Oryzias latipes: one gene and its partners. The protein of the gene in region 1 interacts with the protein of each later gene in a biochemical or structural test. Links are inferred from orthologs where the notes say so. Each region holds a gene or a part of one and is shown in the gene's direction. Other genes may lie near its edges.

The links.
Region 2: the proteins of nr0b2 (region 1) and esr1 form a complex in vitro, tested with the Homo sapiens proteins (2 studies listed by BioGRID). The link is inferred for Oryzias latipes from reciprocal best matches to the Homo sapiens genes NR0B2 and ESR1.
Region 3: the proteins of nr0b2 (region 1) and estrogen-related receptor gamma type 1 form a complex in vitro, tested with the Homo sapiens proteins (2 studies listed by BioGRID). The link is inferred for Oryzias latipes from reciprocal best matches to the Homo sapiens genes NR0B2 and ESRRG.
Region 4: the proteins of nr0b2 (region 1) and pparg form a complex in vitro, tested with the Homo sapiens proteins (2 studies listed by BioGRID, with this or other methods). The link is inferred for Oryzias latipes from reciprocal best matches to the Homo sapiens genes NR0B2 and PPARG.
Region 5: the proteins of nr0b2 (region 1) and hdac3 form a complex in vitro, tested with the Homo sapiens proteins (2 studies listed by BioGRID). The link is inferred for Oryzias latipes from reciprocal best matches to the Homo sapiens genes NR0B2 and HDAC3.
Region 6: the proteins of nr0b2 (region 1) and probable global transcription activator SNF2L2 form a complex in vitro, tested with the Homo sapiens proteins (2 studies listed by BioGRID). The link is inferred for Oryzias latipes from reciprocal best matches to the Homo sapiens genes NR0B2 and SMARCA2.

What each region holds. Positions count from the first base shown.
Region 1 is NC_019874.2:9,914,639-9,918,389, forward strand, and holds nr0b2 (nuclear receptor subfamily 0 group B member 2), read left to right. Parts: upstream 1-1,629; 5' UTR 1,630-1,631; coding exon 1,632-2,232; intron 2,233-2,313; coding exon 2,314-2,555; 3' UTR 2,556-3,202; downstream 3,203-3,751. UniProt on the Homo sapiens protein: Transcriptional regulator that acts as a negative regulator of receptor-dependent signaling pathways. Specifically inhibits transactivation of the nuclear receptor with which it interacts.
Region 2 is NC_019882.2:8,941,112-8,945,629, forward strand, and holds the start of esr1 (estrogen receptor), read left to right. Parts: upstream 1-1,344; 5' UTR 1,345-1,448; coding exon 1,449-1,459; intron 1,460-2,089; coding exon 2,090-2,509; intron 2,510-3,137; coding exon 3,138-3,352; intron 3,353-3,785; coding exon 3,786-3,902; intron 3,903-4,236; coding exon 4,237-4,427; intron 4,428-4,518.
Region 3 is NC_019861.2:25,270,967-25,274,889, reverse strand, and holds part of estrogen-related receptor gamma type 1, read left to right. Parts: intron 1-1,317; coding exon 1,318-1,428; intron 1,429-3,502; coding exon 3,503-3,685; intron 3,686-3,923. UniProt on the Homo sapiens protein: Orphan receptor that acts as a transcription activator in the absence of bound ligand. Binds specifically to an estrogen response element and activates reporter genes controlled by estrogen response elements.
Region 4 is NC_019863.2:9,244,829-9,249,316, reverse strand, and holds the start of pparg (peroxisome proliferator-activated receptor gamma), read left to right. Parts: upstream 1-1,635; 5' UTR 1,636-1,704; coding exon 1,705-1,756; intron 1,757-4,488. UniProt on the Homo sapiens protein: Nuclear receptor that binds peroxisome proliferators such as hypolipidemic drugs and fatty acids.
Region 5 is NC_019868.2:25,317,603-25,320,439, reverse strand, and holds the end of hdac3 (histone deacetylase 3), read left to right. Parts: intron 1-1,482; coding exon 1,483-1,562; intron 1,563-1,778; coding exon 1,779-1,936; intron 1,937-2,013; coding exon 2,014-2,083; 3' UTR 2,084-2,211; downstream 2,212-2,837. UniProt on the Homo sapiens protein: Histone deacetylase that catalyzes the deacetylation of lysine residues on the N-terminal part of the core histones (H2A, H2B, H3 and H4), and some other non-histone substrates.
Region 6 is NC_019867.2:1,047,264-1,051,186, reverse strand, and holds part of probable global transcription activator SNF2L2, read left to right. Parts: intron 1-1,132; coding exon 1,133-1,306; intron 1,307-1,391; coding exon 1,392-1,565; intron 1,566-1,889; coding exon 1,890-2,060; intron 2,061-2,371; coding exon 2,372-2,422; intron 2,423-2,665; coding exon 2,666-2,796; intron 2,797-3,923. UniProt on the Homo sapiens protein: ATPase involved in transcriptional activation and repression of select genes by chromatin remodeling (alteration of DNA-nucleosome topology).

The sequences.
Region 1 (3,751 bases):
TTTAACACCCACTTCATGCTTCCAAGCCTGATTTCTCTTTATTAAAATGTGATTACTAACCTGTGAAAAGTGATTCCTCTCGATCGGTTTATTTTCTTGTCATCATTTTTGCAGTTGATTGTAAAACATTGCGTCCCCATTTGTGATTCTTTGCGTGGCTGTTTGGAGCTCGAGTCTATGCATTCAAGACTGAATGCATAGACTATTCCAAAGTGTATGGAGAAAGGGAGTTCCAGCAGCTTGTTTTCATTTGAGTGAGCTACAGAACAAGTCTCAAACAATATTGCTTTAAAACTTATGTCCAGATTAAAAGCAAATAATTTATCCTAAGGCATTTGAGTTTGAGCCGGGTAAGATTGAAAAAATACAGTGTGTCCCAAGTACCGGGTTTAGAAACACAACCTTAAATGACTCACAGGACACAGCACTTCTATATTTGTCCAAGGTTTGTTGGGCAAGTATTCAACCTATTGACCCAAAGCAACTGTGATTTGAGATTTTGTTGAATTTCATGTCAAGAGTTCGTCATTTTTAACCAGTCTGTTTCTTTTTATTTGTGGAATTTCAAAGGGTTCTTATATCATCCAAAATCAACTTTTTTGAGCTTTAAGTGTATTGTAATTTTCATTCCTCACTGTAAACAACCCCAAAGGGGTATTTTGATCCATTCATGCATTTCTGAGCATTCCTCTAAAAACCTGTGCTCTGAGCACCAGCCCCTCCCAACCCACAACAACGAGTGGGTCCTCACATTGTGACGTCTCAAAGTGAGGAACAGCCCCTTCCAGAGTCTGCGCTGCAGCCCCAACCCCAGGGTAACACACATCCACTTTCTCTAGCTTATTCTGTTTCTATGCACATTCATCTTTGCAAAAGTTCGGATATTGTTTGTTTTCGAGGGAAAAACGCAGACACGCTGCTGTGGCTGACTCTAAGTTGACATCATGAAACGGGCGGACCCACCAGGAGAGAAAGCCGGTGCCTCAGAGATCGAGTCATTCTACTTCCGGGTATGAAATGAATTGTGAAAATAACTCATATTTCATAATAAAAACGTTCTTTAGGGCCAAAAGAATATATATCACATATATGGATATAGTTCACTCTGGAAGGCTCAATAAAAGCATGATGAAGGCCCCTTAAAAATAGTTTAGAGTAGCTTCTTTTTTATTTCTCTTTTAGTTTAAAAGCCAATACGTAGAATTTTCTCAAAATTTTCTCCCATATTGTCTAGTTTTACCACTGACTGAAATGACACTGTACTTTTGAGGATTTAAGTCAGGGGTCAATGCCCTCTTTGTGCCCTGGCCTTGTTCCAGTTTCACAGGTGTGATCTGGCAGGTGTAGTGACACAGTGTGGGTTGGATTACCACTGCAGTCCTTGGTAGCTTGGTACAGCCTGGGTTAATGACACTTGCTGGCAGATAAGGCCCATCCTTTTTGATATGTGTTACTCCAGCAGCTACTTTCATTGAGAAAATCTTATCAGTTTCCCAGGGTTGTTCCAGCAGTCACCTGGCAAAGCGAGCGGTTGTTTTTCACATCGAGTGTATTGACATTTCAAGGTCCACTGAACGGAGGGGGGTTGGCCCTATAAATATAGAAGAGGCAGCAGCACCACTCAGGAGCTCATGAGGAGTCTATCTGTGAGAGGACGCACGCATTCATCACCATTATATGTCATCGGGGGGAAAAAGATGGATAGCAGATGCCATTGCTTAACCAACAATGATAGGGTTTTGAATCCCATCCTCTACAACATCCTGAGCCAAATGGACAGCAGCATGCAGAGCCAAGACTGCCTCAACTACATCTCAGTGCCTCACAGGTGCAACTGCGAGGTGCGCCGGACACTGTGCTTAAAAAGTCCAAGTGAGATCTGCAAAGAAGCCTCAGCAGTTCTGGTTAAAACCGTCCACTTCATTAAGAGCCTGCCTGCGTTCAACCAGCTGCCACTGAGTGATCAGTTTGCGCTGTTGAGAAGCTGCTGGGCTCCCCTCTTTATTCTGGGGCTGGCTCAAGAACATGTGGACTTTGAGGTTACAGATGCCCCCGCTGACAGCATGCTGAAAAAGATTCTTCTGAACCGCCAGGAGAGCCCCGAGGCTAAAAGGGAGCAGCCCACCATGGCAGGCGTCAGCAAACTCAAGTCTTGCCTCAAAAAGTTTTGGAGTTTGGATTTAAGCCCAAAGGAGTATGCATACCTGAAGGGAACCACGATATTCAATCCAGGTACGAAGGTGCTGGATTCAGTAAAAGGATGAAGTATGTGTGTGTGCGTTAACTGACTTTACTCGTTTTCCTCGTCCACAGACGTTCCGGAATTAAAGGCTGGATTGTTTGTGGAGGGCTTGCAGCAGGAAGCTCAGCACGCCCTGAGGGAGGTGGTGCAGCTCCTTCACCCGGGTCGCGAGGAGCGCTTCGCTCGAATCCTGCTCACAGCTTCCATGCTGCAGGGCATCACACCCACCCTCGTCACCGAGCTCTTCTTCCGGCCCGTCATAGGCCAGGCTGACCTGCTGGAGCTGCTGGTCGACATGCTCTTTTACAGATAAGAACAGTGGACCTCAGCTGAGGGACTTTAAACCACATGACACCCAGGCTGGGAAAGGAATGTTGGACGGCTGCTGTGAAGCAGATTATAAAACCCCACAAAAAAAATGTAGATTTGATGAACAAGCCACCATGATTGCTCACATTCACGCAAAGCTGAGGTCACTTTATCTCTGTGTCAACAGATTTCCTTCCCCTAAGTAGAAGGATTTTCACACAGTGGCAGACTTGTCTCTTTCTATTAGAATATTTGATTTTGTCAATCTTTTCTGTTATTTCATTGTTGTAAATATGTGTCTTTTGCTTTTACAGGAAACTTCAAATAAATATATTTTTGTACACAAATGACAAATTACAGCCTCACGCTCTTGACTCACACCAAGCCAATGCCACTGTCACACTTAATCTGACAAATTCAGCTGTTAAACGCATATTATTGAGTCAAGATGTTGCTAAACTCAGATTGACAAATTTCTTAGTTGCAGTTGGATCTTGTTGGTGAACGTGGATATTTATCCACAAGAGCTCTTTCTTTTTCAAAAATGATGACAGGAATGTGTCACAGAATAATATTTCTTGTTCATTCCGAAGCTTTGTCTCCCTCTATTGGAAAACACATCCACAAGCAAATAAAAAGAAAGATCCTCGATCCCATTTCAACCTTATTTTACAATCTTATGATACGCTGAGAAGAAAAGGGTAAATCCAAGCCAACAAAGCAGTATTGTCTTAACAATCTTCATGCAAAAATCCCCACAGAAGCTGTTCACATTCATCCATTCTGTGGTATGATGGTTGTGAAACAGTCTCTCTTTACTTGACACCATATACAGGTAAAACAGGAATGCTGATGGTGGGGGCAGTGAGCCAGGGGAAATGGGGTAACACAGCACAAACAAAACATTTAAAAAAAAAAAAAAAAAAAGAGCTGGTGGTGGAAAATCTCCACTTTTTTCCTGCGTTTCCATCTTTTTAATTGAAGTCTTATCCCTTCAAGACTGTGTGAGAGGGATTGCCTTTTATAGTAGTTTCTCAAGCTGAACTACAACTGTTTATTCTGTTCCAGCAATTATAAAACAGACCCTGAGCAAATACATGTAGCAGCATTTTGCATTATACTTTCACTGATAAATATTTGTTTGGCCAAACAGATTTAGGACGGGTTCTCGGAAGATCGTTTTCTGCACCATTTCTTCCT
Region 2 (4,518 bases), on another chromosome or scaffold:
CAAAGAAGAACTGAAAACATGGCAGCATTATCTAGAATGGCGAAAAACATTCCAAATATTTACACAAGTCTGATCACTTGCAGTAAAGTGAATCTAAAGACTTCAGTAATGCCAAATGCTCAAACAGGAGCTCCGATTTGATCAATAAAAGAAAAGTTTCTGAAGTTTTTTAAACCCATATTCCGATTTTATCTTGCTGCTGGATTTTTTTTATTATGAAGGCAGATTTGCCTGAAAGTTTGATTTCAAAGTAAAGATCAGAGGAAGGTTTGGGTGTTGATTTTTAATCTGAATGGTTTGGATTAAAGCTTTAAATCTCCCTGGCCAAAATCTGGAGTCCATCCTGACGCCTGTCTGCGCTCAAATAAAACACACACTTGTAATAAACCTGAACAGATGAAAAAGGTAATAAATAGATGAAACTAAGAGTGGGGCATCTTGTCTTTATTTTTCTGCTCTCGCATGTTGACCTGTTGCATTCAGGTCAGGTCGGACTTTAAAAACCTGTAAACGAAACAGTTGGAAATGCTGCAACATGTGCATTACAATTCTGAATGAACGAGGGGTATAATTGTCGTACTTTGTGAAGGTGGTCCGTCACGAAAATGAGGTCAATTATTCTAAGAGGCGTGCTAAAGCCATTTTTGGTGATTTGCTGGATACGTTTGCTTCCCAACCAGTCATTTTTTGCTGTTTCCTGGTGTTGCTGTCATCAATTTTATTCTAGGAAAAATGCAAAATGATCCATATCATCATCAAGACTACTTGTTTCCCACTTGACCCCAACATGTCTTGAAAATTGGGCTGTTTGTTCAAGAAAGAGTCCGGACAGGAACGAGGAGGAGGGCTTTTGTTCCCCCCTTCAGCAGTCGAGCATGCTCATGTTTATTCTAACATATAAGAAGATCATATCTTGATAAAATCAGCTTTATTTTAGCCCCCCCCCCCATTTTTATGTTAATATTATTCAAATCTAATTTTCCTGGAAGAATTTCAAGTCCATTTTTCTTTCCTAGTAATTCAAGTACACACAAAAAAAACTTTAAAGTGTAAATACTATTTTTTTCCAGAAATCTATGGCATCAGCAATTTGGCTTTAGTGGAAATGTTTTGCCACTTCCCCTTTGACCAAACCTTTTTTTTTGTGTTTATTATCTTTTTTTCCTCTTTTTCTGCATTTAAAATCCCCATTAATTTCCTTATTTGGAATTGATTGTGTAATTGTTGGCTGTCAGATTGAGATTTGACCCCCTGCTTTGTTTGCTGTGTTATGGTGACCTGGCACTTAAACACACCATGGTTATTGATTTGGCTGCATCTTTAATTTGTTTATCCTTTTTCAAACCTTTCCACTGGTTCCACCGAAGCTGCCCGTCTCGCTGCTAGATGCCTGTCAGGCAGGCAGAGAGGAAGCAGCCCGTGTTGCGCAGCACATCTGAGGATGATTCATGAGTAAGAGGTGAGTGGTGTCTCATGCTTGATTTTGCAGTTCTTCTTTTCTTTTTTTTCTTTTTTAAGCCTTTTTGTTTCAAAGCATCCCTGCTTTTATTTACCCAGTAATTAGGTTGAGTGCAGTCTTGGTTGTGTTTTGGCCATCTCACCACTAACGCCGCATCCTCTGCTAATAAAAGCTGATTATTCAGAGTCGCTCTGTTGGTTTGTAGTTTCTGGAAACCACACGACAGCCGGGGAAAGCTTTGCTTTAGACAAACGAGGTGGAAGGAGACAGGGAAGTTTAGGAATAACTATTCCCTGACATTCCTTTCTTTTCCTCTCTCTCCCACTTGTGACTCCCACACTTGAGTGTAAACATATTGGAGGAAATACTGAGAGACAAAACCAGCAGATTGGGAGGAGTCCTTTTCGTTATTTTTGGTGAGCTGAAGCTTTAGGGAGACGAGGAAAAAGGATCTTCTGGTCCCTCCAAGTAGTCTGACAGGCATTAATAGAAAGATGAGCCCCACACAGAGAGAAAGGGAAGACTAAAAAGAGAGAGGGAGAGGAGAACTCCACTCCCCCTCCCAGCAAATGGGAGAACAAGTCTAAATCATGCTTCTTATCGCCGCTGTTGTGCTGTGATGTTGCTCAGACAGAGCTCGGTGCAGATCAGGCAGCTGTTCGGACCAGCACTCAGATCCAGGATCAGCCCAGCCTCCTCAGAGCTGGAGACCCTCTCCCCACCTCGCCTCTCGCCCCGTGACCCCCTCGGTGACATGTACCCTGAAGAGAGCCGGGGTTCTGGAGGGGTGGCTGCTGTGGACTTTTTGGAAGGGACGTACGACTATGCCGCCCCCAACCCTGCCACGACTCCCCTTTACAGCCAGTCCAGCACCGGCTACTACTCTGCTCCCCTGGAAACAAACGGACCCCCCTCAGAAGGCAGTCTGCAGTCCCTGGGCAGTGGGCCGACGAGCCCTCTGGTGTTTGTGCCCTCCAGCCCCAGACTCAGTCCCTTTATGCATCCACCCAGCCACCACTATCTGGAAACCACTTCCACGCCCGTTTACAGGTAAGTGAGGGCAGTTTAGCTCCGAATGAGTCATGAAAGTGGACAAATGAGGGGGAGAGGTCTGTGTTTCAGCCTCTGCTGATTCATCCAACTGTTTGTTTAGGCAGACTGAGTTAAAAGGAAGTACTGAATTCCAAAAAATGATTATTATTTTGCTTTGTTTAATTACAAAAATCAAGGAGTTTGGGTGTTTTTCACCCACTGTCACACATGAGGAGCAGCCTTGGCGGAAAACTAGATATTTTACAATTTATGGCAATGACATTTAAAGTTGAGTCTTCCAAGTGCTTTTATAAACAAAACATTATTACATAATGACACAACCTTTTAATCTTCCACTTTATACAAAACACACAACTTTATCTTTTCGTAAAGGATCAAGCTTGGTCCTGCTTTCTAAATCCAGAGATTAAGGACTTTGTCAGAGACCTTGAGAGAGGAACAATACGTAAGAACAACAGAGGCTCACATGAATTTTGTTTTTCTGGTTCCGGTGGAAAACACAAGTCTGTTTTTGCACTTTCATATTTTTAGTCAGAATGTTCTTGATCATCTTTTGGCAAATTCTGTCCTTTATTAGCACCACAGAACCAGAAATGGTCAGATTAAGATTCACAACCTGTTGCAGATCCAGCCACCAGGGAGCCTCCAGGGAGGACCAGTGCGGCTCCCGGGAGGACACGTGCAGCCTGGGGGAGTTAGGCGCCGGAGCCGGGGCTGGGGGGTTTGAGATGGCCAAAGACACGCGTTTCTGCGCCGTGTGCAGCGACTACGCCTCTGGGTACCACTATGGGGTGTGGTCTTGTGAGGGCTGCAAGGCCTTCTTCAAGAGGAGCATCCAGGGTAGGAAGCCACACTAAAAAGTCTTCTGGATTTAGAAAACTGTCAAAAATGTCAAATCAGTCTGATCTGAAAAATTCTCAATTATACTTTGATAATCATCATAAATTGTGATATCGTAGAAATGACTAGTCTTAAATCAAAAGAATTGATGAGCGCACATTTAAGCCTTTGTGGTTAGTTTTTGGATCACAACAGTTGAAGAGAAAAGCTCCATCTGCTTGATGGTTCAGTCATGTTCACGATATAATTGTGTAATGAAGGATCAGTCAGAAGGTTACAAAATGTTTCCATGGCAATAGAAAAGCTAAGATGCCACATTTTCATCTTCTCCTCCCCAGATTCTTTTATCAGTGTTCCTGGCTACTAAATAACCTAAATCTAAACTGAACATTGGACTTGAAGGCTGAAAGTAATATATTTTTCTCCATTTCAGGTCACAATGACTATATGTGCCCAGCGACCAATCAGTGCACTATTGACAGAAATCGGAGGAAGAGCTGCCAGGCTTGTCGTCTTAGGAAGTGTTACGAAGTGGGAATGATGAAAGGCGGTGAGCACTAACTTCACCTGACAAGAGATTTTCCCGCCTCAGCTTTTTTGTTCCCATCATTTACCATTTTCTACATGAAAGCGGCCCTCAATATTTGTTTTTCTGCAACGCACACTCCGCAAGGGTGCAGATAAACTTGAACTTTAGCACGTCCCTGAAGATATTTACATCTCAGAAGTACAACTAATTATTACACATCCTGTTTGTTTTGGTGCCTCTCAGATAAGGGCATCTAAGTGTGCGGATGAAAATGCATGGATTTGTGTCTGGCTTGGTTTGTTTACATCTGCCAGGGCGTCAGTGTTGTTTTTATGAAGCTTGATGTGTCCTTAAGGTGTGCGCAAGGACCGCATTCGCATTTTACGGCGTGACAAACGGCGGACAGGCGTTGGTGATGGAGACAAGGTTGTAAAGGGTCAGGAGCATAAAACGGTGCATTATGATGGAAGGAAACGCAGCAGCACAGGAGGAGGAGGAGGAGGAGGAGGAGGAAGACTGTCTGTGACCAGCATACCTCCTGAGCAGGTACTGATTTGTAAGGAGTAATTGATCATGAAAAGTCAAACTTTTTCTATTAACTCAGAATTTTATTTTAGTATTAGGAATCATCCTCGTA
Region 3 (3,923 bases), on another chromosome or scaffold:
CCAAGCTGTCAGTTGATTTCATTGTTTTTTTTTTTCCTTTTTAATGTCCTCCATGTGTAAGTGTAAAAAGAAAACGGTGCTTCACATGCACTCTGCTTTACCCCCATCTCAGTAAAAACATTGGGATATAGAATCATGCATTTGTGGAAAGGTTTTTTGCAGAGACTTCTGGGAAATTTCTAGGGCACTCGATTTTGGAATTGTAGATTCGGACAGCACTACAAAATGGCGAACGCACTATATAGTGCACTATGTAGTGAGAAGTGAAGGAATTCGGACATAGCCTTAGATTTTCACTTTGTGAATTTGGTGACGTGATTTTTGCTGTTTGAAAAAAAATAGTGAGCATGGACATTGCAAACAAGAACTGGATGGTGCGCCGCTTCTGGTCTTTCCTAGAAGAAACTAATGTTTGAAAAAGGTTCTTAGATATATATTGAAAGTCAATTGACCGGGAGTGGAGGAATACAGATGGTATGTTGTGTGCATTTGAGCTAAATCATTTTGAGGTGAGAAGGCCTCTGTCAGCATAAAGGGGTCTTTTTCAGTGTTGACTCAAAAATTGGGGTGTCAAGTGTGTGTCTGTGTGTAGGGGGGAGGGGGGTGCTGGGGTGGCAGCTGCCCCCCATGCTACTCTGTAGCTCCGCCACTGCATTTTGAAAGCCACATCCTGAGTGTCACTTTTCCAACCCCAGGATCAGTTTCAGCCTTTTGCTCTCAAACTTTTCTTTCTACCTACCACTGGTGTGTATACTAAAAGAACGAAGAGCAGTTTGAATCATTTGAGTACCCCGGAGCCATGCTCTCATTTTCTTTCCTCTCCTATCTCCTCCACTCTTCTCTTCTCCTCATCCAAGGTGCATGACACCTTTGTCTTTCTTATCCACCTTTAAGTGGTAACCACGGTAACATCCAATCCCTAGAGAGATTGGCCTAATTCAATTACCACTCCTTTATGTCAATTAATTAATGAGGCAGAGGGGGAGATTGGGCAAGAGACGGCATAAGCGTAAGCCTGAGAGACAAAGTTATAGTCTTCTTACTCAGCTGTTGCAAGAGCTTTTGCAAAACAATGGAGCTGATTGAGTTTAGGAACCATGAATCTAACATAAAAGTAAGTCAATAACAAAAAAACACTGCTTTATTTCCTTTTGTTGAATTCATACTTTTCTCATCTGATCTGTTCTTTCAGGTCAGTTTTCTTGTTTTATGGGGTTTTTTTTTTGGTTTCTGAACAAGTCCAAGACTGAAGTTTTTGAAACATGCTTGCTGACTTGTCTTTCCATTCATACGTCATCCCTCTATGATTTCTTACAGGAGTTCGGCTGGACAGGGTTCGAGGTGGAAGACAAAAATATAAACGCCGGATAGATGCTGACAACAGCCCCTACCTGAACCCACAGCTGGCTTTACCTCCCAAGAAGCCATGTAAGAACACACACGCACACACCACACCCATAGGCTCATAGGCTCATATAGATCACAGACTGATGTGCAAACTCATCCAGTATTGTATCCCAGATCATACACTAACACTACCAGACAAGCATCAGTTTCCATCCAACTGGAGACAGTTGGTCACTAAAAGGATTTTAACCGACACACAGACTCAGCCACACATAAATAGACATGTTACTGGGAAGGCCATCTGTTGGGACTATGTTTATTTCCTTGTTTCTGCTGCTACCAGTTTGGAATCATAACATTTTATGTGTTTAATATTTCCCCATAAAGGCTTTCATTTAGCTCTGCCTGGATTCATTATTTTGTTTTTTTTTTCGTCTTTTCTAAATAATAAAACTGTGGCCATGGGTCTAGTGATTGAAAAATTAACGAGGAAGAGACCATGTGCAAATGACAGAGAAACGGGTGTAGAATAAAACCTAAACGAGGACATTTCTCAAACTGAGAGAGGAGAGAGGCAGACCAGCCACAACCCTAATCCGGATTAAATCCAATCTGGCAACCACATCAAACTAGGGTTAGCTCTCTAGCTAACCGTCTGCTCGCACACGAAACACATACGCACACATGCACTGAAGATTGAGCAGCGTTTAACAGCCTGGTCCCCAAAGCCCATTTTGCTTAAAGCTGGAACATATTCTGCTTTAGGCCAAAGCCATGAATGGGTACACAACAGCTTACTGCGACTACTAATCATTAAAAATTATGGGATAATGTGAATGTGTGGGCAATATTTGCACTTATACCATTGTTCACTGAATAATTCCACTGTAGATCAATTTTCTTCATCATTTTCAATTTACCCAACTTGATTGTCCAGCTGTGCAAAGTTTTTGCTGTTTCAGGAAAGTACAACAAATCTAAATACTTGATCTGTGAGTATTTTCCGTATTTCTTTTTTTTAATAACTAACAATAAGTCTGCAAAGAAACAACAACGAAAAACTATAAAAAACTATAAACACATGTGAACTTATTTTCTTGTCACACAGTCAATACACACAACCTTTTCCTGTTCCTCTGCATCCCTCAGACACCCTCACAGAGCCCAATCCCCAGCCTCAGCATCCACATTGATTGTGTGCGAACAGAACAATAGCCCAGGGTTTGGAAATGGGCTTCCATTGATTCTAATTAGGGAAACATTAAATAAGATTTACCCACAGATACTGCAGTGTGACTTGGATTCATGGGGCTGAAATGACCCTGGAGCTGAACGAACTGTGTGTGTGGATACATACGAACATTTGTATACCACACAGCCTTGTGGATGTAAGAGAAGTGGGGGGTGGTGGACAGTGTTAGATCAATACAGAACTCATCCTCACAACTCTTTCACTCTCTCTTGCTGTTTATCTCTATCTGGCTGTCGCTCTTTGGACTCATCCTGTCTGTCTTTTGCAATCTGCTCATGGCTGTATTTCTACCTGTCTGTCTTCTTCCATTTTTTTTTCAAGGCTAATCTCTCCCCCTCTTTCTTTTTAGCCCTTTACTCATCTCTTGCTCTTCTATCCTCCGTCAACCATTCCCATGCTTGATTAGTCTTTGGATTAATTTGGAAGCAGGATATCAGTCTGTTGCTAATGGGCCATAGAGGTCTCATCACCACATGTCACCACTAACAGCTGAGCTGTTTAGCTTTCAGTCATATCGTCCTCTTCTGTACGAAGCGTTTTAACATCTTCAGGCACTGAGAAAACAAATACTTTCAGCAATAAATGTTGGTGCGAATTTTAAATGTGGGTTTAAAGGTTCTTCAATCAACCCTTTGAAGAAAGATGGAGAAAAATCGTTCTTTCTTAGTTTAATGTGTGCTTGAACAATACTTCCTCAGTATTCTCACACTTTTCTAGTTTCTTGTTCTTGGTGTGCTGTTTCTTGACTGTGAGAACTAACATTAAATGTGTGTGTAACAAAGTTTTGTTTATGACCACTCACAGGTTAACACCAGACTTGTGGTGCAGCTTGTAGCTCAAACAGGCAACGTATTCACCATCTCTCTGTCTCTTGTCTTTCTCCTTGTCTGGTGTTCATGTCAGTTGCCTTTGGCTGCCTTGCAGATAACAAAATTGTCTCTCACCTGCTGGTGGCTGAGCCAGAGAAGATTTATGCCATGCCTGACCCAACAGTACCAGACAGCGACATCAAGGCCCTGACTACGCTGTGTGACCTGGCGGACAGAGAGCTGGTGGTCAACATCGGGTGGGCCAAGCACATCCCAGGTAGGAGATATGAAAACAACTCTGCCACTTTCCTTGAAGTTGAAAACATTGCTTTTATTTAGAAAAATTACAGAATGAACCAAATTAAGTTGCTGCTTTTTATTATCAACTTCAAAGGGTGGGTGACAGACCAATGGGGTCATAGATACATTTTACACTCTTTCACATCTGTGCAGCTCAGTTTCTCTCCACAGTGAAGGGAAGAACTAAATCTAATCCTCTTAAATAACCCCATTTC
Region 4 (4,488 bases), on another chromosome or scaffold:
AAGTGCTAATTAACTGTAACCAGACAAAACCATATTGACCTTACTAATGTATATCCATCACGTCTAAAGAAATACCACAAAGTTCTTTAATTGCTAGTCTAAGATTACAATTTCAAATTTTAAAAAGATCATAAGTTTAATAAAAGGGTCCCTTAGCAAAATTATATTTTAGTGTACTAAGTGTACTGTATACTTAGTCTTTATACAAAAAGTGAGACAGTATACGTTTTCTATATATATATATATATATATATATATATATATATATATATATATATATATATATATATATATATATATATATATATATATATATATATATATATATATATATATATATATATATATATATATATATATATATATATATATATCAAAAATTCAAATTAGTCAGAAGAAAGATCCTGTTGGTATACTTCCTACACTACAAATACATGGTCTATAGTATACTTTCTATACTTATACTCAATACTTGATAGAATACACTTCAAGTGTATACTTTTGCTAAAGGGGTGTGGAACATTTGGACTGAATCCCATCAAAGCTGCACTACTGACCTTAGTAAAAAGTAAAACAACTGAAATATACTTGAGTATAAGTATAGCATGTATACTATAATGTATACAAGTTTACTTTATAGTCCATGTATGTGTAGTGTAGTGTATGAAATATACTAATGGATTATTTCTTCACACTACATTGGAACAGTTTATCTTTACAATATAAAGATAGTATGTGAAAAGTAAACTTTGTAAGTACTGCCTCAGTTCAGTATAGACTTAGTATTCTTGCAGTACACTATTTGCTAAGGGTGAACTACACTAATTACTTCAATAAGTGTTTCATTTGAATGCTTGAGGAAGCATGTAGACATTTTTATAAAAGAAAGTAATTTTAAGCAACAAAATTATATTTAGATGGCTACAAATGACGTCCCTTAGAAACAGTAGTTTGTTTAAGTGTACTACTAAATATTAGTAACTTTAAAGGGGGAAAAGGTATATGAATGACTATTACCTGTGTGGGATGTAGGACAGTTTGGTTCAATGAAAAGTTTCAATGGCGTAAATTGAAGTTTTTAGGAGTAATCTGATGCCTTCGTCTGCTTCCCCTCGTTCCCGGCGGGCTGGCTGTGCTGAGCGGAGGGAGGGAGGGAGGGGAGAGAGCAGGGAGGCAGGCGCACCGCCGCCTCAGCCTCCCCCTGCGGCAGCATGAGCGCCGCCGGACTCAAGCTCAGACGCGGCGCTGCTGTGCGCCTGGTGCCGACGCCGCCTCAGCCAAACAGATCCACAGCGTCAGGAGAGGTTCGGCGCATTGATCAGGTCAGTTCAGCTGCTTCTGTTTGTGGCACTGCAGTGGCTTGTGTAATTAAAAAAAAAACATCAATCATCAAGACTGTTCGCGGTTATCAATCATTTGTTTCTGCTTTATAGATCTGACAATATCAGCCCTAATCGTGATTTAATATTATTAGCAATTATAAAGTTTAAAAAATAAATAAATTCCCTAATCATGGTGAGATCTGACAGAGGTGGAGGTAATGATGGGCACTTTTTTCTTTAAAGTTGGGAAAGCCAGTGCAGATTGGGGGGGGGGGGGGGTGATGACGGGGATGGGGGTGCGGTCACAGGACTGACAAGTGACACAAAGCAAGGTGTGGGTCCAGAGTGTGTCTGTGGGCCACAGTGTGAGTGGAAGTCTGACATGCAAACACCAGGCAGAGATTTCAACAATCTAAGTGGTCACAGCTACTCAGGTGAGTGCAGACATTTTATTTTTTCTTCTTCTTGTTTTTGCAGTGATCAGCAGTGAGAGTTTCCCACTCAACATAAACATATATGCATGACAGTGGCTCCTCATGTGTCGTTTATAAACCTATGTCATCCCTCCTGTGTCACGCAGCGCGTATTACTCAACCTTGAAGCTGTCCTGTAGTTTTGAACGCTTTGGAGTATAATGGCCGTGACTCAGCACATATGTGGTCAACAGACTCAGGGACAAATGCTGATTTTGTCTTTAAGGGTTTTCTGCTCTTTGGTCCCAGCTTTTTTAGCTCTAACACATCAATTTTTCATTTTTTTGTGTTATGAGCAAAGATGGGTTTTTCGTCGCATCGTATCCAAATGATCAAATATTTTCAACGTCTTTTAGCAAATAGAAAGTATTGTTTTCCTACACTGGAACTGTAACTTTTGTTTTTTGTGAAGACAATTTGACTATTTTCAGAGTTTCTGATAGTTAATAACGTTGCTATTATCTGGATTTATTTAAAATCCTAAATAACGTGATGTACTTGTTTGTGTCAGTGGCAGTCATCAGCAAATATTGTCTCCTAATACTATAACACAGCCTTCTTGTTGCAGTCGATAAACTCCGAGGAAACACAACCTGTTAGCTCTCTGTGAGAAAAAGATGGCGGTCGACATTGACATGATGAATGGATCTTTGGTGGAGAAATAGAAATGACAACATAATGGACCAGATTAATGTTATGTCACCGTTTAATGTTTGTACTTTATTTACTTATTTATCAAATTACTTCAACTGCAGAGTTTCAGATCATTTCATCTCCAAATGGACTTTGGTAATTGATCCGTCGCAACTAGATCGGTTCAAAATCTCTGCAGCGACACCTTTGAGTGTCTCTGTGAATCTGAGTGTGTTGATCCTTTCATCCATCATTGAATTATTTACTTATCAAGTTATGTAATTCCTAAAGTGAAGTGTGTTTAGATGTGTGTGTGAATGACTGAGAAAGAGCTGGACTTTACTCTGGACCGTAAATGGAAGGAGTGCCTCAAGATACTGTTCTGGATTATATTTTTGTCCTTCATGTGCTCTCAAAGACATTTTACTGTTACTAAAAGACATACATGCTGACTAAATTTTATCTTGGTTGAAGGTTAGGGTTAGCTTTTTACAAATATTCTTACTGAAAAATACTTACTTTGTGTTGGTTTGAATTTTCCACAGATGTTTTCTGCTTTTGCTTTGGTTTTCTTAAGAAGAAAAAGTGTGAAAAAGCTTTACAGAAAAAGCTCAAATGAAGAAAAGGTCATTTGTTTCTACATAAACATTTCAATAAAAGAGAAAGGCACACTTTAGATTGACCCACAAACAATTAACCACCTTTTGTTCACCAGATTTCAGAGATTCTTGTATTCAGAGCATTTTTTTTAAAGAAACCTTTGATTTTGTTTTATCAGAAAACGCAGCCCTTTAAAGTTTAGCCTTCAGGTCGTGTTTTTTCTCTCTCTAAATTGGGTGTAATTATTAACTTCGTGTCCAAACATTTCGTCATATACTGTCAACATACAGCAAAATTTTGGCAGTAGACTTGCACAGACATTGACATTAATCAAAGCTGTAGACACAAACAGACAGAGAAAACATTTTTGTTACTAGTTGTGTTTCAAAACAGCTTTTCAATGGGAAAATATGGATGTTTGGTGTTTTCACTGTTAAAGTTTAAGTATAAAGGGATTAAAACAGGTTTTATAATTTTGGTACTAAGAATTTCCACTTAAATTTAAGTCAATCTTTGTTGATATTTGACATAATAATCAGACGTTAACATCTTAAGTTTAAGATTCAGTTTGAAGAATATTTTATTTTAATAACCGCAAAGAAATGCAACACAAAAAATTCAACTTCCACGAACAAATTAATATAAACACGCCTAAAGTATGATATCTCATATTACCGTTGCTATAGCGTAAACCCTGTATAGTCCTACGTGTCTATCAACATTGTTTCTTTGATCACACAACACTTGTCATGTGAGGTGAGTCACAATGAAAGCAACATCAAAGAAATGTTCTCTTGCACTTTTTGCATTAAATTGACATCTGGTGGGAAAAATGCATTCTAACAAGAGGTGTAAACACAGTTTACACTTGGACCAAATTTGTTTCGAAATGCTGACATTGTTGTACAGTTATGGCAAGTAAATATGTTTACAATATCGGAATAATAAATATTAGCAGAATAGATTTACAGATATTAGATATTGTATTAGCATAATAGTTAAGTTATACAAACACATTTTTGAAGAACGCAGTGCTTAAATTGTAGCATTGCAGTTTAATTATTGTCTTATTAGTTCTTGGGGTTTTGGCCTGAAATACAAAACAAACGGAGTCCGTTTCAGAGATAAAAAGTTTTTGCTAGAAAAACCTAAAAACATTTTAGTAGTGACAGCCAGTCATTTTTTATTGAAATGTGTGTAACAGTTTCCTTTGCGTGTTATGGAGTGTTGGTTCACACTTTTCTGCAGCAATGCTTTGTTGTTTCACTGAGGTTTGCATGCATTTGTTGACAGCACAGCTCTGTCTGAGTTACACCGTACCATTTCAAGACTTTGCGATTTGGATATAGCCTGGGCATTTTCATCACCGAGGTGCTTTCTTTTTTTTCCGTGATTCTGTTTTTGACTTTTTTTTTAAATTATTTTTTTGGTTGATAATCCTTGTCCTGTTTGACTCATTA
Region 5 (2,837 bases), on another chromosome or scaffold:
AATACTAAACAATGTTAAACAGCAACAACGAAGGAACAAGCCAGTGGGTTATTATTACATTTTAGGCAGATATATTTAAACTGACACACATATCAGCGCGCCCCCTGGTGGTTTTTCACCGCGATGATCATAAATCCAACACCGTCACTGAAGAGAGACTGAAGCATGTCAGAGATGTGGAAGACATGGCAGGAATAGATAGGAATATGTTAGATGGAGTGACGGGTGGAATTAGTGCTATGGACAGCAAGATATTTAATGAAGGCATTGAAGATGAAACTGTATCCACTAAGCTTTAAGCTGAATGTCAAAGAATCAAAAGCAAAGACTCCAAATACCTGAATCTCAGACTCAAATGCAGTATAACTTCAAAGTACTCAATTTTGTTTTTCTTTACAACACTGTAAGCAGTAAGTATTTCTAGTTAGCTGAATGATCTCAGTAATTTAATTTTATTGAATTTTTCAATTATTTAATTTAATTAAGTAACTAAAGTAACTAAAAAGTAAATGTAACTTTGCAACAGTAACAAAAAGCAAAACCTCAAGGCAGTCAGAGCAAAAAAGTAAATAAAACTTCTTAACTATTGATTAGGAACAAATGTGAAATAGCAGTGATTAGAAGCAGCATGAAAACTTCTGAACTAGTGTTACTTACTACACTGCAGCGCTCTCTTCAAAACATCTGAAACAGACTAGAGCAGATTTAAGTTTGATATGCTCTATTTTTAGTCATTGAAAAAGTGTATAAATAAGTGCTAGATGTCACCAGAATGCACCATATTAAAATTTTCCGGGGGGGCATGCCCCCGGACCCCCCTTAAGTTGCAAGCACCTGCGGAGCGGCGGGTCCCGCTGTGCACGATGTCGGGCCAGTAACTCTCAGTCAGGGCCAGTAAGTTTCAAAAGCTACTGGCCCTCTGGGCCAGTGCAAATTTCTGGGCTATGTCAACCCCTGCATGTTGGAAAATCCTTGGATCTTCAGGTTAGATTTGTGGTCAAAGTTTAGTCCCACTGGTCACTACTGATAAGTAAAATAGTAGATTAGATCCATGTTGCGTGTCCTACAGTGGTCATATGGATGTTCAGTGCAGGTATTTCTATAGATCTGCTCTACAGGTCGTCTAGTTTGATTTTTCTGTAATAAACAGAATCGCTGCACCTCCAGATTCCTTAAATTCTGCTTCTGACAAGAATAACTGCTGATAAAAATGTCATTTTCATCTTTTTGTGATCTTTTTGCCTTCAGGTTGGTCAGATTGAAATGTGGATGACAGAGTAGATGAGTGTTGTTTTTATTGAGACAAAGTAGACCATTTTTATGTCACATTTTTTGCAGACAGTCTCTGAGGTTATTTAGGCCAACAGTATAACAGCTTCTTTTTGACGCCGACATAAAGATAGATCAGTAAATAGTACAGGAGAGTTTAAATCTGTTTCTGTATCCTGTAACCAGAGAACCTTTTTCTCCTGATGTCGGCAGAATATTTCGAGTACTTTGCCCCAGACTTCACGCTGCATCCTGATGTCAGCACCAGGATCGAAAACCAGAACTCCAGACAGGTAACTCCGCCCCTTCCTCAGGTGCCATTTTAGGAACTGCTGAATCAGGTGTGTGCATGTGTAGAACAGTTTGAACCATCCAGACCAGAAAAAGCCATCATCTTCCTAAAAATGAAAGACATTCCAACCTGTTTCAGTAGCTTAATCTTTTGGAGGGAATGAGTTTTCCTTTAACACACGTGGATCCGTTGAAATAACCCGTGAACGTCGGTGCAGTATCTGGAACAGATCCGTCAGACCGTGTTTGAAAACCTGAAGATGTTGAACCACGCGCCCAGCGTCCAGATCCACGACGTCCCGTCAGACATGCTGAGCTACGAACGCACAGACGACCCCGACCCAGACGAGAGGGGAGCTGAGGAGAACTACACCCGGTCAGTAGGAAGACAAAAAAGGCCTTCCTGTTTCACCTGCAGGATTGAGTCATAAATGTTTATCGATGCACTTTCAGACAAGAGGCAGCGAATGAATTCTACGACGGCGACCATGACAACGACAAAGAGAGCGACGTTGAAATTTAAGGCTGGAGGATTTCTGAGAGACGATCGTTGTGGACAGTTAAGGATTTGGAAAACACTTTGTTCATCTGGTTTTTTTCAATGTGGTTTTTGTGTTTTGTTTTTTTTTAAATAAATGTTTTTAGCTTTTATTTCTGGACTGATGCTCATTTATTCCAAACTCATAACCCTTGTGTTATCTTAGATGACCCCACCCTTACATTGACGTGTTCTCCCTACCATGACAAAGGTGGATAAAGGTGGAAAGATTTCATGTAATCCATGGACACCAGTGAAGATCACAAATCATTGAAGAAAAAAGGTTCAGCGCACTGTCTAGTGGGTCTAGATGACCCAACTCCCAATGTTAAAGTGCCTAGGATAGCACGAGGGATAAACTGCAGCTCTGCTCCTCATCCACCAGAGGGCGACATCAAATGACAGCAGGACTCAGATCTCACGTGTCATAGACTTTATTCCACAATCATCCAGTGATTAGATAGAACTTTTAACACAACAAACACAACTTCTAAAAATCTACTTTATTTGTGCTTTAAGCACAAAGACCGCTGAGCTGAACGCTTTCATCACAGGTGAAGGAAAGAACAGTTCAGCTGCAGGAATCCGTCACAGTAAAGATGCTGGTTGTGATGATATTTAAGCTTTCCATATCATATTTAAATCCAGTTAAAATGACTTCCATCTCGTTGACATAAAAAAGCACCGTTCAGGCGTAGCACTTTGACCTTCAGACAGGTTTCTTCACACAAATGAGGAT
Region 6 (3,923 bases), on another chromosome or scaffold:
GCTGAAACAGTCTAACTATTAAACAGGCTGACGCTGAAACAGTGTAAAAATGAAACAGGCTGACGCTGAATCAGTGTAACTATGAAACAGGCTGACGCTGAAACAGTGAAACTATGAAACTGGCTGACGCTGAAACAGTGTTACTATGAAACAGGCTGACGCTGAAACAGTTTAGCTATGAAACAGTCTGACGCTGAAACAGTGAAACTATGAAACAGGCTGACGCTGAAACAGTGTAACTATGAAACCGGCTGATGCTGAATCAGTTTAAATATGAAACAGGCTGACGCTGAAACAGTGTAACAATGAAACAGGCTGACGCTGAAACAGTGTTACTATGAAACAGGCTGACGCTGAAAGAGTGTAACTATGAAACAGGCTGACACTGAAACAGTGTAACAATGAAACAAGCTGACGCCGAAACAGTGTAACTATGAAACAGGCTGATGCTGAATCAGTCTAACTATTAAACAGGCTGACGCTGAAACAGTGTAACAATGAAACAGGATGACGCTGAAACAGTGTTACTATGAAACAGGCTGACACTGAAACAGTGTAACAATGAAACAAGCTGACGCCGAAACAGTGTAACTATGAAACAGGCTTACGCTGAAACAATGTTACTATGAAACAGGCTGACGCTGAAACAGTTTAACTATGAAACAGGCTGATGCTGAAACAGTGTTACTATAAAACAGGCTGACGCTGAAACAGTGTTACTATGAAACAGGCGGACGCTGAAACAGTGTAACTATGAAACAGGCTGATGCTGAAACAGTCTAACTATGAAACACGCTGACGCTAAAGCAGGCTGACACTGAAACAGTGTTACTATGAAACAGGCTGACGCTGAAACAGTGAAACTATGAAACAGGCTGACGCTGAAACAGTGTTACTATGAAACAGGCGGACGCTGAAACAGTGTAACTATGAAACAGGCTGATGCTGAAACAGTCTAACTATGAAACACGCTGACGCTAAAGCAGGCTGACACTGAAACAGTGTTACTATGAAACAGGCTGACGCTGAAACAGTGTAACTATGAAACAGGCTGATGCTGAAACAGGGTAAAGAAGTCTTGTAGAATCAGAATTCTGAAGTCAGTCTTAACTTGAGGTGTGCTTTGCTGAAGCTGAGGCAGGACGTGGTGGCGTGCATGAGGCGGGACACCACCCTGGAGACGGCGCTCAACTCGAAAGCTTACCGACGCAGCAAGCGGCAGACTCTGAGGGAGGCCCGCATGACGGAGAAGCTGGAGAAGCAGCAGAAGCTGGAGCAGGAGAAGAAGCGCAGGCAGAAACACCAGGTGATCGACGCTGGCGTGCACCGGCCCGTGGCCGCCACGAGCTCCTGGGTTTGTCACCTTCATGATGCGCTTTGTGTTCTTTCAGGAATACCTCAACAGCATTCTGCAGCATGCCAAGGACTTCAAAGAGTATCACCGCTCGGTTTCCGGCAAAATCCAGAAAATCACCAGATCCGTTGCCACGTGGCACACTAACACGGAGCGGGAGCAGAAGAAGGAGACGGAGAGGATCGAGAAGGAGAGGATGAGGAGGCTGATGGTGAGGAGTCATGTGGACTTCAGTCCATGTCAGAAACGGAAACCTTGTTTGCATGGCGGCCATCTTTGTTTGAAAGAATCCATGATCAAAGCGATGTTCTGTTGGAAGAGACACGCCCACTGTGGAAAGCTTTCATTCAGCGTGAAGTTCAGTCTGTGATGGAAATGAGGCTGGAAAAGCAAAGATTATTGCTCTGTAACTGTTCCACTGAGGAGAAGCCATGAAACAAACAAGGAAGAGAGGAATAGAAGACAATTACGAAAAGAGTTTCTCATGAGGGTTCAGCCTGATACCGTTCTGACCTTCTGTTGCTGTCTCTTCCAGGCTGAGGATGAGGAGGGGTACAGAAAACTGATTGATCAGAAGAAAGACAAGCGTCTGGCCTACCTGCTGCAGCAGACGGATGAATATGTGGCCAACCTCACTGCTCTGGTTTACGAGCATAAGGCTGCTCAGGCTGCCAAGGAGAAGAAGAGGAAGAAGAAGAGAAAGAAGGTATGACGAAGAGGCTCACGTTGGTCCCTCACTGTATGTTTCTGTTGCAGGTGGACGCCCTGCTGGTGTTCAGATCTTTGAATTCTTTCCCCGCTTGTTGCAGCAGAGCCCCCGACTTTCAGTACTAAAAGCAAAACATCATCTGGATATATTTCCTCTAGTTTTGTCAGGAAACCCCCAACGCGCTCTCTGGTTTCTATGAAGCTCAGCTTTCAGTCGTTCATATTTTTAAATCAAAGTTTGTTTGCTTGCTCTTAAAAAGGTGAATCTTTGATGTGATCAAACTGCTGATGTCTGTGTGGTCTGTGCAGAAGGTGGACGGAGACGGTGAAGGCACCAGCGCCTTTGGACTGGATGGAGAGGTGTGCTGCTAATGCTTCTTTTCTGCATGGGGGGGTTGAAAATAGCGTCAGGAAAGCAGCGTTTCTCCTTCCAGACGGCGTCTCAGCCCCAGAGGAGGCCATGATGGCACCTTTTAGGAAGACCAGTGCCTCCCTGTGATCTAAGATTCAGGCGTTAAAATGTGGGGTTGGGGAAAACCAGAGGAGGAGGAGGGCTTTGGAGATGAAGGCTCCTCTTTTTTACCTCCTTTTCTTGTCTTGCAGCCCATTGATGAGAGCAGCCAAATGAGCGAGCTTCCTGTCAAAGTGATTCAGACCGAGACCGGGAAGGTCCTACAGGGAACCGACGCCCCCAAGTCCAGCCAGCTGGAGGCTTGGCTGGAGATGAACCCTGGGTGAGACGCTCCACCACTGCAGCTGTAATGATCCAAAATCCCACCCGCCCCCTGCAGAGAAGATTCAGGGGGGTTCTGCTGGCGGGTTTCTGTTAAAAACACGGCTCCTTCAGTCAAAGGAAAAACATTTTGTCTTTGTTTAACCGCACTCGCACAGTTTGAATCTGTCAGCCGCAGGATTTCTCCTGGATAGGAAACCTTCACGGTTCAGTGTTCCCTCGTTTATCGTGGGAGTTACATTCTATACATAACCCACCGTCGGATGGATTCGTTTTTATTTTTACAATAATTCTAGATGTTTTAAGGCTGTTGAACTTATCATTACACTTTTTTCAGACAGACATGAACATTTTCATACTTTTCTCTCTTGTTTAAACTGTCAAACGGCCGGTATTAGAATGAAAACAGAGATCTGATCAAAATTGAAGATTTATGTAGATTTGGAAAAGTGAAAAAGTCTGTACAGGAGACTAATTAACACTAGCCAATGGAAACACTGCACTGTAAAAAAAAACATGTAAAAACTGTAAAAAAAAAAAATCCACGAGACTGCAAAAGGTGAACCGTTATAAAGCAAAGGGAACGCCATTTTCCTGCATTTGATCTTACTTTTGACCTGAAGCTCTTTGTCTTATACCATCGTCTGGATAAATTCTCGATTCTGATTGGCTGCTGTGTTTGCATTAAAAAATGATAATCCACAGTGATATCACCTAAAAAAGTAGTTCCGGTCACAAAGCTTAAATGCTTCTTTAAAACAAACTTTTTCTTCATCTACAGAGAAAAAACTGACAAAGACTTAAAATAATGTTTAGAACAATCTCCTTTTAGAGTCACAACGACACTAAAATGAGCTCCACATGAACTAAAACAGGAGATTAAAACATCATTTTCTGTTAGACATCAGTGAAATGATGAAGATACGAGTCATAACAAAAATCTGCCTTTAATGAAAGACGGGGTGCAAAGCTCAGCCAATGAGACGTCTCCATTTTTTGGTGGTTCCAGATGGCGAAACTGGTGAATGAAAAGCCAGAATATAAATAAAAAAATAAAACAAATGTTGAAAACAGTTTTAGACTCAAAAACCCAGATAGTGAATTTGAAAGAAATATTTAAAAAATCCT